Linked DNA regions of Saccharomyces cerevisiae S288C. The protein of the gene in region 2 interacts with the protein of the main gene of each other region in a biochemical or structural test. Each region holds a gene or a part of one and is shown on either strand. Other genes may lie near its edges.

Region 1 (3,600 bases), on a different chromosome or scaffold from region 2:
AGACTCCCAATGTCCACCAATCTACTGCCTTTGTATAGCCTAAACCTAGCAATAGTTCTGGTGCCAAGTATTCTGGGGTCCCACAAAAAGTATCTGTCTTATCATCATCCTTCATATTCAATTTGCATAGCCCGAAATCACAAAGGGCAATGTGGCCTTGATAATCCAATAAAATATTCTCTGGTTTCAAATCACGATAGACAACATCTAGTTTATGCAAGTTGTCTAGCGCACATAACAATTCTGCGGTATAAAATCTGGCACGTGATAAATCAAACCTTCCTTCCTTTTGTAGATGATAAAACAACTCACCACCATTGATAAACGCTAAAACAAAGTATAATTTTTCCGGTGATTGGAAAGAAAACTTCAAAGGTACAATAAATGGACAATCAACACGTGCTAGAACGGTTCTTTCTGCCAAAGTATGCGTGACTTCGGATTTAGAGACAATGTATGATTTTCTGATTGCCTTCAAAGCGTATACTTTTTGTGTATCTTTCTTTCTGACTTGCATCACTTTACCAAACGAACCCTTACCGATAACTTTCAAAAGATCGAAATCATCGATGGACAAAGGTTTATTTCTGGAAGGTTTATAATCAATACTAATATTGATCTTACCCAAGCCATTATCCAATGTGATCCAGTGGTGATTATATAGTCTAATACTAGCTGCAGAGTCAAAACTTAAGTTGATGGGCAAATGGAAAGAATCTAAATGTATATCTTGATTGGAATTTATTTTATCAAAAATGGTCTGTAGCTTCTCGTCTTGCAAACCCATCTCCTGTTGCCATGTCTTCGAGGGCAAAAGAATGGACGGAATTCTTGCAAATACATCAATCTTTAAATAAGGTAATTTCCTTGTCACATCAAAGGTAGATATCTTATTGAAACCAGGTTTAGCGATCGTACCATACTCTGCTTCAATAGTTGCAACTGTATTATCAAATTCAATGGTGAAATATAGTAAGGGATTTAAGGTCGAAGACCCTGGTAACATGATAGTAGATGGGATGAACTTTGCTGCTGACTCGCTAGAGATCAAATCTTCATCAGCTGGACCTTGGTTCTTTATTTGAACACGGGACAGTTGTGCAATTAAAGCATCTACTTCTTTACTAATCTCCTTATGTGGCGGTGGAACACCCGAGGCCAATAGTTTATTCAATATTTGCTCGCTTGAGGTAATCGGAAAAGGTAAAATAAAGTCATCACCATTATATACTTTGATAGTCATCATTCCTGAACTTGAGGTGGCATCATTGGGTGTCCCTGTAGAACCAATATTTGCTGTTTCATCTAAATTTTGAGATGAGTTCGTGTTTTCTGAATTACCACCATTTGAATCTCGTACAGTAGAGGTCGATGAGGATGCATCGTATGAAACACGAACCGGGACCACTGATGAATTTGATGGATTTATCGTGCCCTTCCTGTCTAAAGATGAACGAGTAATTGAAGCATCATGTTCCCCCGCAGTTGCTTGATTATTCTGCTGTTCTTCCTTTTTAGAGGAGTGAAAAAACCCACTATGTTTGGCTTCTTTTTCTTCTTTAGATTTTCCAAACTTAAACTTTGACTTCCAAGAATACATTTTCAGGAACTGTATTAATGTTTGTTGATATGAGAGGAACTTTGAAGTGTCAATTTCCCGCTGTATACAAAGAAATTGTAGAGTAATCTATATCAAAGAATATAAAGGCTTTGAAATTTAACCAAACACAAACAAACCAATTCTAAAAAGTATGGGAGCGAAAAATAACTCAACTGTTGTTGGTATGACGATAGTGTTGATTACCGTTGGCTCGTTCGGGATAAGCATTTTTTAAGCCTTCCAATAGGGGCATGTTTTGATCTTGTTTTCCTGTAGCGCGGCTCTGCCGCGAAGAAAGTCGCGAGTAACGAAAAACAAAAACAATGTTGTATTATGAAGCTAATTGATAAGTCAATCAGCAAAAAATAGATATACTACATATATCCTCTACATATAAATTAAGATCAGTTAAAACATCTTTGGAAAATTAGTGCTTGTTCAAGACCAATAATTCTATGTGCGGACTGTTGGTTCGTCTGTTCCTAAAATTTCTTTAAATCTTAAGAATTTTACAATGGAGTTGATGACGGGTTTCAAGAAGACGTCAGCTGTTTGGCCATAGTTCTCCTTTTTATCAGTATACTTTTCTACGTATAATCTTATTGTTGCACCAGAACTGCCTGTGCCGGATAACCTCAAAACAAATTTAGTCCCATTCGAAAACTTTACGAAAAGGCCTTGATTTTCAGAGATGGAGCCATCTAGATCTCTATACGAAAAATCACCACAATCGATAACGGTTAAAGACTCATCAGCTGGGAAGTGGGAGCCACAAACGTTTGGCCTTGATACAAATTCACTCAAAAGAGCTACAACTTTTTCGGCCTGCTCGCATTCGATATGTTCGTAATCGTATCTTGTGAAGAAAGTACGGCCATACTCGTTCCAAAATTCGTCCTGAATAGTTTTGATCGAAGCTTCCTTTTCAGGGTTACGCCTATGGTAGATAGCCAAGATATTTAACCAAGCAATAATGGCCCATAGACCGTCCTTTTCTCTGATATGATTGGAACCTGTACCGAAGGATTCTTCACCACAGATTGATAGCTTTTTAGCATCAAATAAGGCACAGAAGAATTTCCAGCCGGTTGGAACTTCGTAACATCTTAATCCCTTTTTTGCTGCAACACGATCAATGGCTGAGGATGTAGGAAATGAACGTGCCAAGCCATAAATACCTTGTTTGGCGAAGTATGGAATTTCGGGTGCATATTCGGCAATAATGGCAACAGAATCACCTGGCGAAACGAAAGCAGGGCCATAACCGTAAATCATATTCCTATCACCATCACCATCGGAGGCTGCTCCAAAGGCAATTTTTTCGCGGTCAACCCTGTCAACAAGAGTTCGTGCATAGGTTAGATTCGGATCGGGATGTAAACCGCCGAAATCAGGTAAAGGGTGCCAATTTTGAAGAACTTCCTCTGCCGGTAAACCAAATTCATCAACAAATATAGCCTTACCATATGGTCCTGTAATACCATTTAAGGAGTCAAACAACAACTTCCACCCTTTGTCTTTGCGCTGTTTCGCTAAGAAGCTTTTAATTAAGTCAAAATCAAAAATTTCCTTCAGAAATTGAACGTATGCTTTGGCAGGATCAATTATGTCCACTAACAATGGGCCATATTTTTGGTTTTTACCAAGCTTGTTCAAATTCAACTTGGGGAAGTTCTTTATAATTTTATAGTGAGTTAATTTTTTAGACGCTTCCCAGATAGCGTTAGTGACACTCTCTGGAGCTGGCCCACCATTAGGTAAATTATACTTGATACCTAAATCATTCTCTGGACCGCCTGGGTTGTGTGAGGCAGTTAATATGATACCACCACCGGTACACTTTTCCTCGTATGTTCTAATTATATGAGAAGCAGCTGGTGTTGAAAGTAAACCGCCTTGACCAATGACTAACTTTCTGACACCGTTTGCAGCACCTACTGCGGCAATCTTGTTCATGATAACATCGTTGTAGAAACGACCATCTCCTCCAACAACTAAAG
Region 2 (10,829 bases):
TCTGGAAATTTTCAGATTGTCAGTGCTTAGGATGGGTTGTCAGTAGACGGTGGCCGCCGTGGATGGGAAATCTCATACGTTTACACACATAGTGTTTGGAAATTAATAGTAGCAATAGCTATCTGGCTACTGTTTTAAAGTATTAGCCCGTTCTCAGTGCTTCTTTTTTAAGGAATAACAACGGCAAGACCAAAGATATATCAAATATGGCTAAGCAATCTCTAGGTATGTTTGGAGGATACGAATAACGATAGAAAACATGAGTGAATTTCCGTCCACGAAAAAATGTTAACATAAAATGCAAGAGAACAATTAATCGAATAATGTTAAATTATTGTAAAACAATGTGTATGATGAGGAGGAATGTACCTAAGCCAAAAAAAAAAAAAAAAAAAAAAAAAAAAAAAGAAACAGCTTTTGCATATTCAATCCAGGCATAGGGCGACTATTTAGCACTCAACGATTTTTAAGCTTGTGTATTGCTGACATAAATTCCGGCTTTAGAATCCAATATTGAAAAACGTGAGTACGCAGAGGAGATAGAAGAAAAGTAGGAAGTTACCGTTTATATTGATTTGTGAAATGCATACTCCGTTGGATGTGGGGCAACATAGATTTAAGTGTGGATGAAAATTATGTGCTCATTGTGAAAAAAAAGTTTTGCTTTTACTAACAAATTTTTTTATTATTTGTTTTCAATAGACGTTTCCTCTGACAGAAGAAAGGCCAGAAAGGCTTATTTCACTGCTCCATCCTCTGAACGTCGTGTTTTGTTATCTGCTCCATTATCCAAGGAATTGAGAGCTCAATATGGTATCAAGGCTTTGCCAATCAGAAGAGACGATGAAGTCTTGGTTGTTCGTGGTTCCAAGAAGGGTCAAGAAGGTAAGATTTCATCTGTTTACAGATTGAAGTTTGCTGTTCAAGTTGACAAGGTCACCAAGGAAAAGGTCAACGGTGCTTCCGTTCCAATTAACTTGCACCCATCCAAGCTTGTTATCACTAAGTTACACTTGGACAAGGACAGAAAGGCTTTGATCCAAAGAAAGGGTGGTAAATTGGAATAAACTAGCTCGACTTTAACATAGATCATACAAAAAATACAATAAATAAATCCTGTGTTTCTTTTATGTATATTTTTTATCAATTTCAATTTAGTTTAGTTTAGTTTCTTTAAAAATAAAATTGTAATTTCTCACATTCTGCCTTCGGGTCTCAAGGGCTGGTTGGTAGACGAATGCGCTTGTTTCTAGCTGAGCGGCAGATGCATGAATTCAATGCAAGAAAATGAGAAAACTTCCAATATTAAAATGTGATTGTTAATTATTAGTATATTTATGACAATATATATATGTACATAGGGTGATTATGAAGATGAGTAAGATGCGAATGGATATGAGGATATGAATCTTTTTAGAGACAATGAAGATGCAAAGAAGTAGTTAAGCACATTGACCTCAGGGTTGCTATATGCTACTTTTAGTCCGTTGGATTTCTGAAGCAGTATTGGCCACAAAAATTTCTTCATTATTTCTACGATTAGAGTTTCTTCTGGATTTTTCTCGTCCCTGAGACTTACTCCTTTTCAAGTCATTTTCAGCAGCAGCTTTGATTAAATCATATCTTGTGATTTTACTTGGAGAGCTATTGTGATGGGAACTTTGTCTGCATGTGACTGTATTAGTCAGAGATGTTATGGGCTTAACCATAAGGGAAGAAACTATGGCACGCATGAATGAATTACTGCTTTTACTGCTGTCATCTGTTGAGTTTGCTGAGTCTTCCGTTCTTGTAGTCTTGGCTGGTGTGAGTAACATTACGTATTGTTTCTGTAGAGAAGATAACTTATAACTTCCGTCTTGTCACTAGTTGTTTTAATTATATGTTTGTTACAAGTTTTTATGTATAGATATATGTTACAACTTTTAGAAGTATTGTGGACATAACAGAGAGAAGGGAATGTTGCTATATTTATATATTTTATATATTGCCCTCAAAACTGTATCTCATCTTTTTTTCTGCAATCCTTGCTTTCGTAATCTAAGTGTGGGTGACATGCTAAATCCGCGGCTTTCCTTAAGCTTTTTCACAAACCATCTATTATGTCCAGAAGCTCCGCTGATTATCCGTGGAAAAGGGTCTTATTCTGCCGTAGGAAACTTCTTCTCGAGAAAAAAGTGAGTTCACCCGCGGCGCTCTCGTAAAACCCGAGGGCCGATTCTTTCCCTCCGTGGAACAATCGGCCCCGCGGCGTCAGAGGGTATTATCTCCGCAAGTGATAGAACTCACATTTATTCTACGTTCTGCATGGTTTTGATTATCTTCTTTTGCACGATGTCACATACTTTTTCGATTACCGTCGCTTTACACAGTAACTGTTTAAAACGAGCGTTCTTAATTAATAACTGTAGGAGAGCAGGCTTTCGGCTTTCTTTATGAGAAATAAGGACTACTCCAGCTTGCCAAGTTTTATCCAGTTACACAAACGCTCAAGATCGCCTCGCTAAAATAGATGAAAAAATAAGAAAAATGAAATGTTCAACCTAATCCCTTTTGGATTTATCATTGAAAGATCGCTGATTTATTCTTTTCCAATACGCCTCGTAATTCTCTTTCAATGTCAAAGGCGCCAGATTGTAAGAATCTGTCATGTAAAATAATCTGACAATACGTAGTTTTAAAAACCAATTGATTAAACCAAGCTCTCTTATGATGCCAACTATAAAAAAATAAAGTGATCCAGTCAGTGCCCCCACGCTGAATCCCACGATTACTTGATCTAAATTGTGGTAGTGCAAGTAAACTCTGGAAAAGCAAACGCAAAACGATAATAAAGCCAATGCACCAGAAAAAATGCATTTTTCTAAGAAGTTTAGATTCTTCCAGGAAGTGTATATCTTCAGAGAGTTATAGGTAAAACAAAACCCCATGAATTGGGAGTGTGCACTGGGCATCCCGTAACCGGATCTTATAGTGTCATTTTGGAACGACGCACCGAACGATACGGGGCGTGGCTGTTTTATTATATTCTTGATCACGTTATTGAATATTTCGTTCATCAATTGGCCAAAGGCTACAATGCAGGCTTCTAACTCTCTTGTGATGATAAACCACGACAAATAAAAAGCTAGCACTAGGATGGGCATCAGCGAGAAATATGCACTAAGGAATGATAGAAAGTCATGCGAATCATAGAGAATGTATGTGTCATCGAATGGTATAACATTTGGATTTGGATTTATTGCAGCGGCGGTACTATTCATGATATGATCCGATTCAAAACAAATTTTGATGTAGATAAAATGCCTGGTATAATGAGTGGTAGAGAAGAAAATTAGACGAAAAGAATGAGAACGAAGAAATGATTTAAAGTGATCACAGTGGCAATCACTTTCCCCTTTTTAACGCGTGTTGAGCAATCGATTGATGTCTCTACCATATGTAGCATTTTCTCAGAAGGCAAACTTTTCTTTTTCTTTCTACTTTTCCAACAAGAAATTTTAAGTTTTCCCAGAAACCCGAATTCTCCTATTTCATCCACCACGTAAGAACGGTTTTCTTCCTGGCGTAATTAAAAGCATAAAGAAAAACTGAACAAGCTCTAGATGTAGATCAGGGTATACATGGTGCGCTTCAGTAAGTGTACTGTACCACTAGTTTGGCGTCTGTCACTTGAATTGCGGATTTGTGTAGAGCAATGAAAGCGCTGCTTCTGCCGCCATCAAAAAAAACTGAGTAGTTATTAAAGCCTATGTATGACAATATAAAAATGTATACAGATCAGTCTGTATATAAATCATGAAAATATCTTTAAAAATTTCAAGAGCGTGTTTCCGCTAAACCTTGTCATATTCAACACAAATCAGTATCATTCTCGGCGTAAATTACATGCGAATCTCCCTAATTGTGATTCAATATTCCAGCGAACCCCGAGAATTTAAATAGAACAGAGTATATGCATTTATTAACAGTTATTACGCCTTGTCCCCAGGGAGAGTAGTAAGGGATATGGGCATTTATAAATGTACATAAGTCACGTTTTTGCAGCCAATAAAATATAATAATAGAATAGTAACAAGGAAAGCTAGGCCAAAACTCCTTACATGGAGCTAGTATACCCCTTTTCTAAGAGGAGTACTTGGCAATCAGTTGATCAACAAGGGCAATGTATTCCTTTTCGGCATCTTCCTGGGATTTACCTTTTAAGTTTTCCCAGGCTTCCCACTTGTAGCGGTCCTTCATGTTGAAAATACCAGGCTTTTCCTTGTCGTTGTCACCTACAGTGGCTTGCTTGTACAGAGCATACAATTCTAATAATTCATCAGTGGAGGGCTTCGTTGGTAGCTCGTTGACGGCTTTAGCTTTTTCTTCGAATAATTGGGAAACCATTTTGCTGAAAACACTAGTTTAACTAATTTTAGAGTTTTAGTCTTCCTTCTTTTGCTTCACACAGTGAAATGATGTACATAACGTACTTGCTTCCGAGACAGACCAATTGATCCAAGCTAGCTATATATATGGCGGTCATTGGGGAGTTGGCCTGGAGCTGTTGAGTTTGCGGACGTGTCAGAGAGCGCGTAGGGCCGCCAGCGCCACCTGTCTTCAGGCACCAAGGCCGTAATCTCTTCCGACGGTCATTTTTTAATGGAATGTTTCAATACGAGAGTTTGTGGCATGTAGTTTAGGAACGGATTATAGAGAATAGTCGAAATATGTTTAGTCCCTACACAAATTGCTAGACTACCTGTTTCGAGTTTCCTCTATTCCTTTGCTAACGGAGCTGCGGTATATAAACCATCGTAGACTCAAAGCCGTTACCCGACAACTATCGGGTATAGTGAAATGCCTATGTTTTCACTTTAAGACCTTAGAAAACTATCATGAGATCTCGCCTTCAGATGCAGATATTTCAGTGGATTCACGAAACAAGAAAAATTCACTGATCGATAACATCTTCCTTTGCTTGATATTCCCTTTTTGAATTTCCCTAACTACCTTTTGTTGTTTACCACATATTCTCTAAAAAGCAGAGTTATTCTTATTTTGTATTTCATTGCATTTTTATCCATTTAGTTAATGACCGAATTAGATTATCAAGGAACTGCTGAGGCGGCTTCTACCTCGTATAGTCGAAATCAAACGGACCTTAAGCCGTTTCCTTCTGCAGGCAGTGCATCTTCATCAATTAAAACGACGGAACCTGTGAAAGATCATAGAAGAAGGCGTTCTTCCAGCATAATTTCACATGTGGAACCGGAGACTTTTGAAGATGAAAATGACCAGCAACTTCTACCAAATATGAATGCTACTTGGGTAGACCAACGCGGCGCTTGGATTATTCATGTGGTCATTATCATACTGCTGAAACTATTTTATAATTTATTTCCTGGTGTTACCACAGAATGGTCGTGGACTCTGACTAATATGACATATGTTATTGGGTCCTATGTCATGTTCCATCTGATTAAGGGTACCCCTTTCGATTTCAATGGTGGTGCTTATGACAACTTGACGATGTGGGAACAAATTGACGACGAGACTTTATATACTCCTTCAAGAAAATTTTTGATTAGTGTCCCGATCGCCCTATTCTTAGTTAGTACTCATTATGCTCACTATGATTTGAAATTGTTTTCATGGAATTGTTTTTTGACAACCTTTGGTGCTGTTGTCCCAAAGTTACCTGTTACTCATAGATTAAGGATTTCTATCCCAGGTATCACAGGTCGCGCCCAAATTAGTTGAACATAGTTTATTTCAATCTTGTATCTAGATGTTTTTGCTATATTTATATTTTCTGGGCCAAATCACTAACGCTTTGAAATTTCAAAAGCCAACAACGGATTTCGGACTTCATTTATGTAAATGAAAAAGAATGTGAACAAAAATTGAAAAAATTCCATATTAATGCACCTTCTAAACCTATTTGTTGAAATTGTATTTAATTCATATAATCATATTCTATTCAAAAAGAATAACAGATAGTATTAGCACTATTTCACGTACTGCTTCTAATACTATTATCACAAAATAGACATCGGAAAACTCAAAAATAACGACAACTGCAGGACTCGAACCTGCGCGGGCAAAGCCCAAAAGATTTCTAATCTTTCGCCTTAACCACTCGGCCAAGTTGCCAATGTATACATTGCTGTTTCCTGGTTTGAAGAAGCTAATCGTGCACGTAAACAACAATCTATACTACAAGTAAAAAAATGGGGAAAAAGATGCTGAAGGTGAGATATATGTGGGTAATTAGATAATTGTTGGGATTCCATTGTTGATAAAGGCTATAATATTAGGTATACAGAATATACTAGAAGTTCTCCTCGAGGATTTAGGAATCCATAAAAGGGAATCTGCAATTCTACACAATTCTATAAATATTATTATCATCGTTTTATATGTTAATATTCATTGATCCTATTACATTATCAATCCTTGCGTTTCAGCTTCCACTAATTTAGATGACTATTTCTCATCATTTGCGTCATCTTCTAACACCGTATATGATAATATACTAGTAATGTAAATACTAGTTAGTAGATGATAGTTGATTTCTATTCCAACATACCACCCATAATGTAATAGATCTAATGAATCCATTTGTTAGTTAATAGTTTAAATGTTTTTATCGGAAGAGGTTTTGTCATCACATCAGCAATGTTCTTCTTGGTCTCGATGTAGTATACGTATAGATTATTACCTGATACTTCATCTCTAAGTCTCATTGCCTTTGTGCCAAAAAATCTGTTTCTAAATTTCTCTTCATTTGTAGACTTAATTATACTGATCGTTGATCTACTATCAGTAAGTAAGCCTTTAATAATTGGTTTCTTGTTAAGTTCTTGCACAAGGTGACTGAGGTTATTCAATAGCGGAATAGCTTCACTGACTGCGTGTATTTCTGCTTCTGTAGTTGAAGTGCATGTTAACGAAGCCTTTGTCGACTTTCCTCCAATCACTTTTCCGTTGAGTAGGAAAATGTTACCAATTTGTGACTTGTAATATGGTTGGTTACCATATGAAGCATCGCTTATTGCGACTAGTTTATTATCTGGCTCGGTAGGTTTGTTTTTGTGCCATATCAGTTGTTTATCTCTAGTGTCCCACATGAATTGTATTAACTCATATGTCATGTCTAAAACTTGCCTAGAGGGGAATAGTATATGTTGAGCAAGTGTGTTGATGTAGTATAGTAAGTCAAATCTAAATTTATATCCAACATATGAAGCTAGACCAATCAACTTTTGCATTTCATGTACCTTCTCTTTGTATTCATCTTCATCTATTTCTAGTTCATCCTGGTCTATATAAAGACCTGGTTGACCTGGAGCGCTAAGTTTTCTTCCTTTTGGATTCAAAGGTACGTTTAATTTGGGTATTTTCTCAGTTAATGAGTTTTCCATACCTAATTTCATGTATTTACCTCTTTGATATTTGATTTCTAAGCCAAGTATGTCGTACTGAATTTCGTTATCACTTTCACCCAGATTTATTATCTTTGTATCGTATTGTTTCTTGAGTGTTGTTATGATTTTCTTATTTGCATTTAAGTCTTTGCTGAACAATATCATATCATCAACGAATAAGCAAATTGTTACTTGACTATTCTTAAATACGCATGACCATCCACGAACTTCTTCCATACCACACTGTTTTATCAGGTATGATTTGATAGTTTCGTACCAGTTCGCTCCACTTTGTTTCAATCCATAAAGTGATTTCTTCAAACGTATCAACTTATCATTCATTCCTAAATGTGGTGGAGGTCTTATGTATAATTCTTCTTTGATGTCTGCATACAAATATGCCGAAGATATGTCTAATTGTGTAATATAGTAGTTATTGTCTAATGCAAGTGACAGGGATGTCATTAATGCATAGTGATGTACGGTATTGGATTGCATGCCTGAGTCGTAAGTGTCAGGATGCTGAATATCACCTCTTGCAACAAATCTAGCTTTATGAGTACCGTCACGTTTCCTGTTGAAGATAAACATTGAATTTATTACTCTTTTAGGGTCTATTTCTTTTCTGTCATAATATTTGTCAGTGTCCCAAGTATTCATTTTCAATAGTTGGTTGACTTCTTTGTGGTATGCTTCGATATATTTTTCCTTTTCTTTAATATCTTTATTATAGGTGATTGCCTCATCGTATCTTAAGGTTGTCCGTATTGGTTTGATTGATTTTACTGCTTTTACAGCTGCAATCAGGTGAATTCGTTTCTTCGATCTCGGAGGTTCTAAACTACGCATATTCTTAGTATTCCATGTGTCTCGTGATACCTTAATTTCAGTTTCATTATCTTCTAATGATCTTTTCTTACTGTTGATAGTAGTATAGGCATTAGAGTCACCAATACCACCCAAACTGGAATTAGTTTGATGAGAATTTATCGGTGGGAGTTCTTTAAATGGGTCAGGGAATTCGGTAGGAGATTCTGGAGGTAGATCAGGGAGTGGGAGATCAGCGATGATAGATTCCTCGGTATTCTGTTCAGAAACAGTAGTTGGCGTTTTGATAGGAACAATATTGTGCGATGAATTATTTTCCGGTGGAGAAGCATCGATTGAAGGTGAACGGTGTATAATCCTTTTCTCAGTCTCTTGGTCACTTATCTGCGGAACAGTTTTGTTGTTGGTACCACCCGTACTGGATATTGGTACGTTTGTATGATTAGTCTCATTTTCACTGTACGAGTCTGAGTGTCTGAAATCTTTAGATTTACTGGCGTGCGACGACTCATGTGTGTTAGATTGGGACATGGGAGCAAGTAAAGGAACATTTAATTTATGCATACCACCCGAACCGGTACTCTCGATATTGGAAATTTGGGGGGTGCTAGATCTCTTCTTTGATGGAAGAATATTAGATTCAGATATGTTGGGGTCAACTTCTCTGGGTGCGCGAATATTGGTTTTAGAAACACGTTTCGAATCTTCAGTATGAGTTGACGGAGGTGTGGAATCGGTTGGACTCACAGCTTTTGAAAGGACATTTCTCGGTTGCTCAGGATGTAGTTCAATGTCGGATTGGAAGTCATGGTCAGATTCTATGTTAAGATCATTGGATTCTTGGATCTCATTTGACGCAATGAACGAATGATATGAAGCAGTTAAACGGTTTAAGTCTTCATCGAAAGTGAGTGCGTCGTAATTGAATTGATCTAATCTGGATTCCTTGCCCTGAAGAATAACATAGTTAGTTGTATCTACTGTCTTCTTTAAGGATGGAAGATAGATGATATATCCATAAGAGTTTCGAGACGGATGTAGAGCGTAGCCTGGGATGCCACGAGGATGTATTTTGGAGTTAGGGTTGTGATCATTGACGATAACAGGTTGACCGAAAGGTAACAAAGTACTGATATCAAGTCCTGCCAAGCCAGCATGTTGTCTTGCAGATTTTTTGCTTTTAGGTGAAGCTAGTGAATTTCTCACAATAGTAGAAAATTCGATTGCAGAGAACCATAAATGGTTCGGTAAACCACTACATTGCAGTTGAGTACGGCAGTCATCTAATAAGGTACGGTTTAGCCGTTCAGCGACTCCATGTGCTCGGGAATCCGCTGTGGTTGTATAGCATGGAGTTATACCATTTTTTTCAAGGAATTTATGGAGAGTTCTGTTAGTATACTCAGAACCACGGTCCATTTGTATAACCAAGACACTGGCCTGAAACTGGTTTTTAATAAAAGCTAGTATCGTAGTAAAAACATCGAGGATAGAGTCCTCGCGACGGTCGTGTAATGGATAAACCCAACGGAATTTTGTTGTCTCATCAGTAAATGAGATGAAATAGGATGGTGCACTATTTGGTAGGTTGTGAACTGGACCAAATATGTCAGTATGTAGGTATTGAAAGGGTTCGTATGAATTTTGGTATTTTAGTCGTGAACCTTTGATATGTCTGTGTTTGGTGCTTTTGCCGATTAAACAATCAGGACATTGATAGTCAATAGCACTAGACCAGTCGACATCTGATTCGTTAAAATACGTGATGGTGTTATTTTTAAGTGAGTATCGAATTGTCTGTGCATTGGCATGCGCAAGCATTCGATGAATGAAAGGATAAGGATATTTGCGTGTACTTTCACTTGTATGGACATTATTGATGGTGGGTACGGAGATATTTGATGGAAGCAAGTACTTTTTAGATACCCAGTAAAAGTCTCCATATTTTACGATAGGTGCAAGTACAGTGCCGTCAGATCGTTCTAAGACGTTTTTGGTAAAGCATGCTGTGATATCTACTGCAGCCAATTCATTCAAACTGAGTAAGTCATAGGCTATGTTAGGAGTGTGCAATACCTTTATTGATGTTTTGGTGTTGTCCTGGAAGTGAAATTGTAGGTCACCAATAGCGTTAATTGGTATATTTCTTTTTTGAGCATCAACTACGTTTATGCCAGGATTAGATGATGCTGAGTGTATGTGGTGAGCAGATCTTATAAGGGTTCGTGATGCTCCTGAATCGAGAAGGAGGTGTCCAGGGAGTTCATCATCAGAATGATTAGTGTGATTTACCGTAGATTCAGTAAGTTCCTGGCCTAAGATGAAGGTCGTGCTTATTGTTCAATTGAATCGGTTCAGTAGTTGATTTACTGATGGAATCGTTGTCCGTGCTGGGAGAGTTATTAGATGTGGATACATTGTGAGCCCTGGCTGTTTTCGATTTCGAATTATTTGTTTTTTGAGGATTCCGAGCTATAACTTTGGGTTTGGTTGTATTCGTATAGCTGCGAGAATCATTCTTCTCATCACTCGGATTTCTCCTGTAATTAGGTTTGCTGTTTCTCGATCCCTGTTGTTCTTCATAAATAG

Evidence for each region. Proteins that work in one complex are often made in the same cells at the same time.
Region 1: of the proteins of ORM1 (region 2) and YPK1, one has a biochemical effect on the other in vitro, tested with the Saccharomyces cerevisiae proteins (2 studies listed by BioGRID).

Annotation. Positions count from the first base shown.
Region 1 is NC_001143.9:203,707-207,306, reverse strand, and holds the start of YPK1 (serine/threonine protein kinase YPK1), read right to left. Parts: upstream 1,601-3,600; coding exon 1-1,600. Other genes in the region: phosphoglucomutase PGM1, read right to left, coding at 2,054-3,600. UniProt on the Saccharomyces cerevisiae protein: Plays an essential role in the proliferation of yeast cells. Involved in a signaling pathway, required for optimal cell wall integrity, that acts in parallel with the PKC1-SLT2-dependent pathway.
Region 2 is NC_001139.9:555,606-566,434, forward strand, and holds ORM1 (sphingolipid homeostasis protein ORM1), read left to right. Parts: upstream 1-5,076; coding exon 5,077-5,745; downstream 5,746-10,829. Other genes in the region: 60S ribosomal protein uL24 RPL26B, read left to right, coding at 207-225, 703-1,067; YGR035C (uncharacterized protein), read right to left, coding at 1,467-1,817; YGR035W-A (uncharacterized protein), read left to right, coding at 1,960-2,181; CAX4 (dolichyldiphosphatase), read right to left, coding at 2,544-3,263; long-chain fatty acid transporter ACB1, read right to left, coding at 4,126-4,389; YGR038C-A (gag protein), read right to left, coding at 10,540-10,829. UniProt on the Saccharomyces cerevisiae protein: Component of the SPOTS complex that acts as a negative regulator of sphingolipid synthesis. Acts by inhibiting serine palmitoyltransferases (LCB1 and LCB2) activity.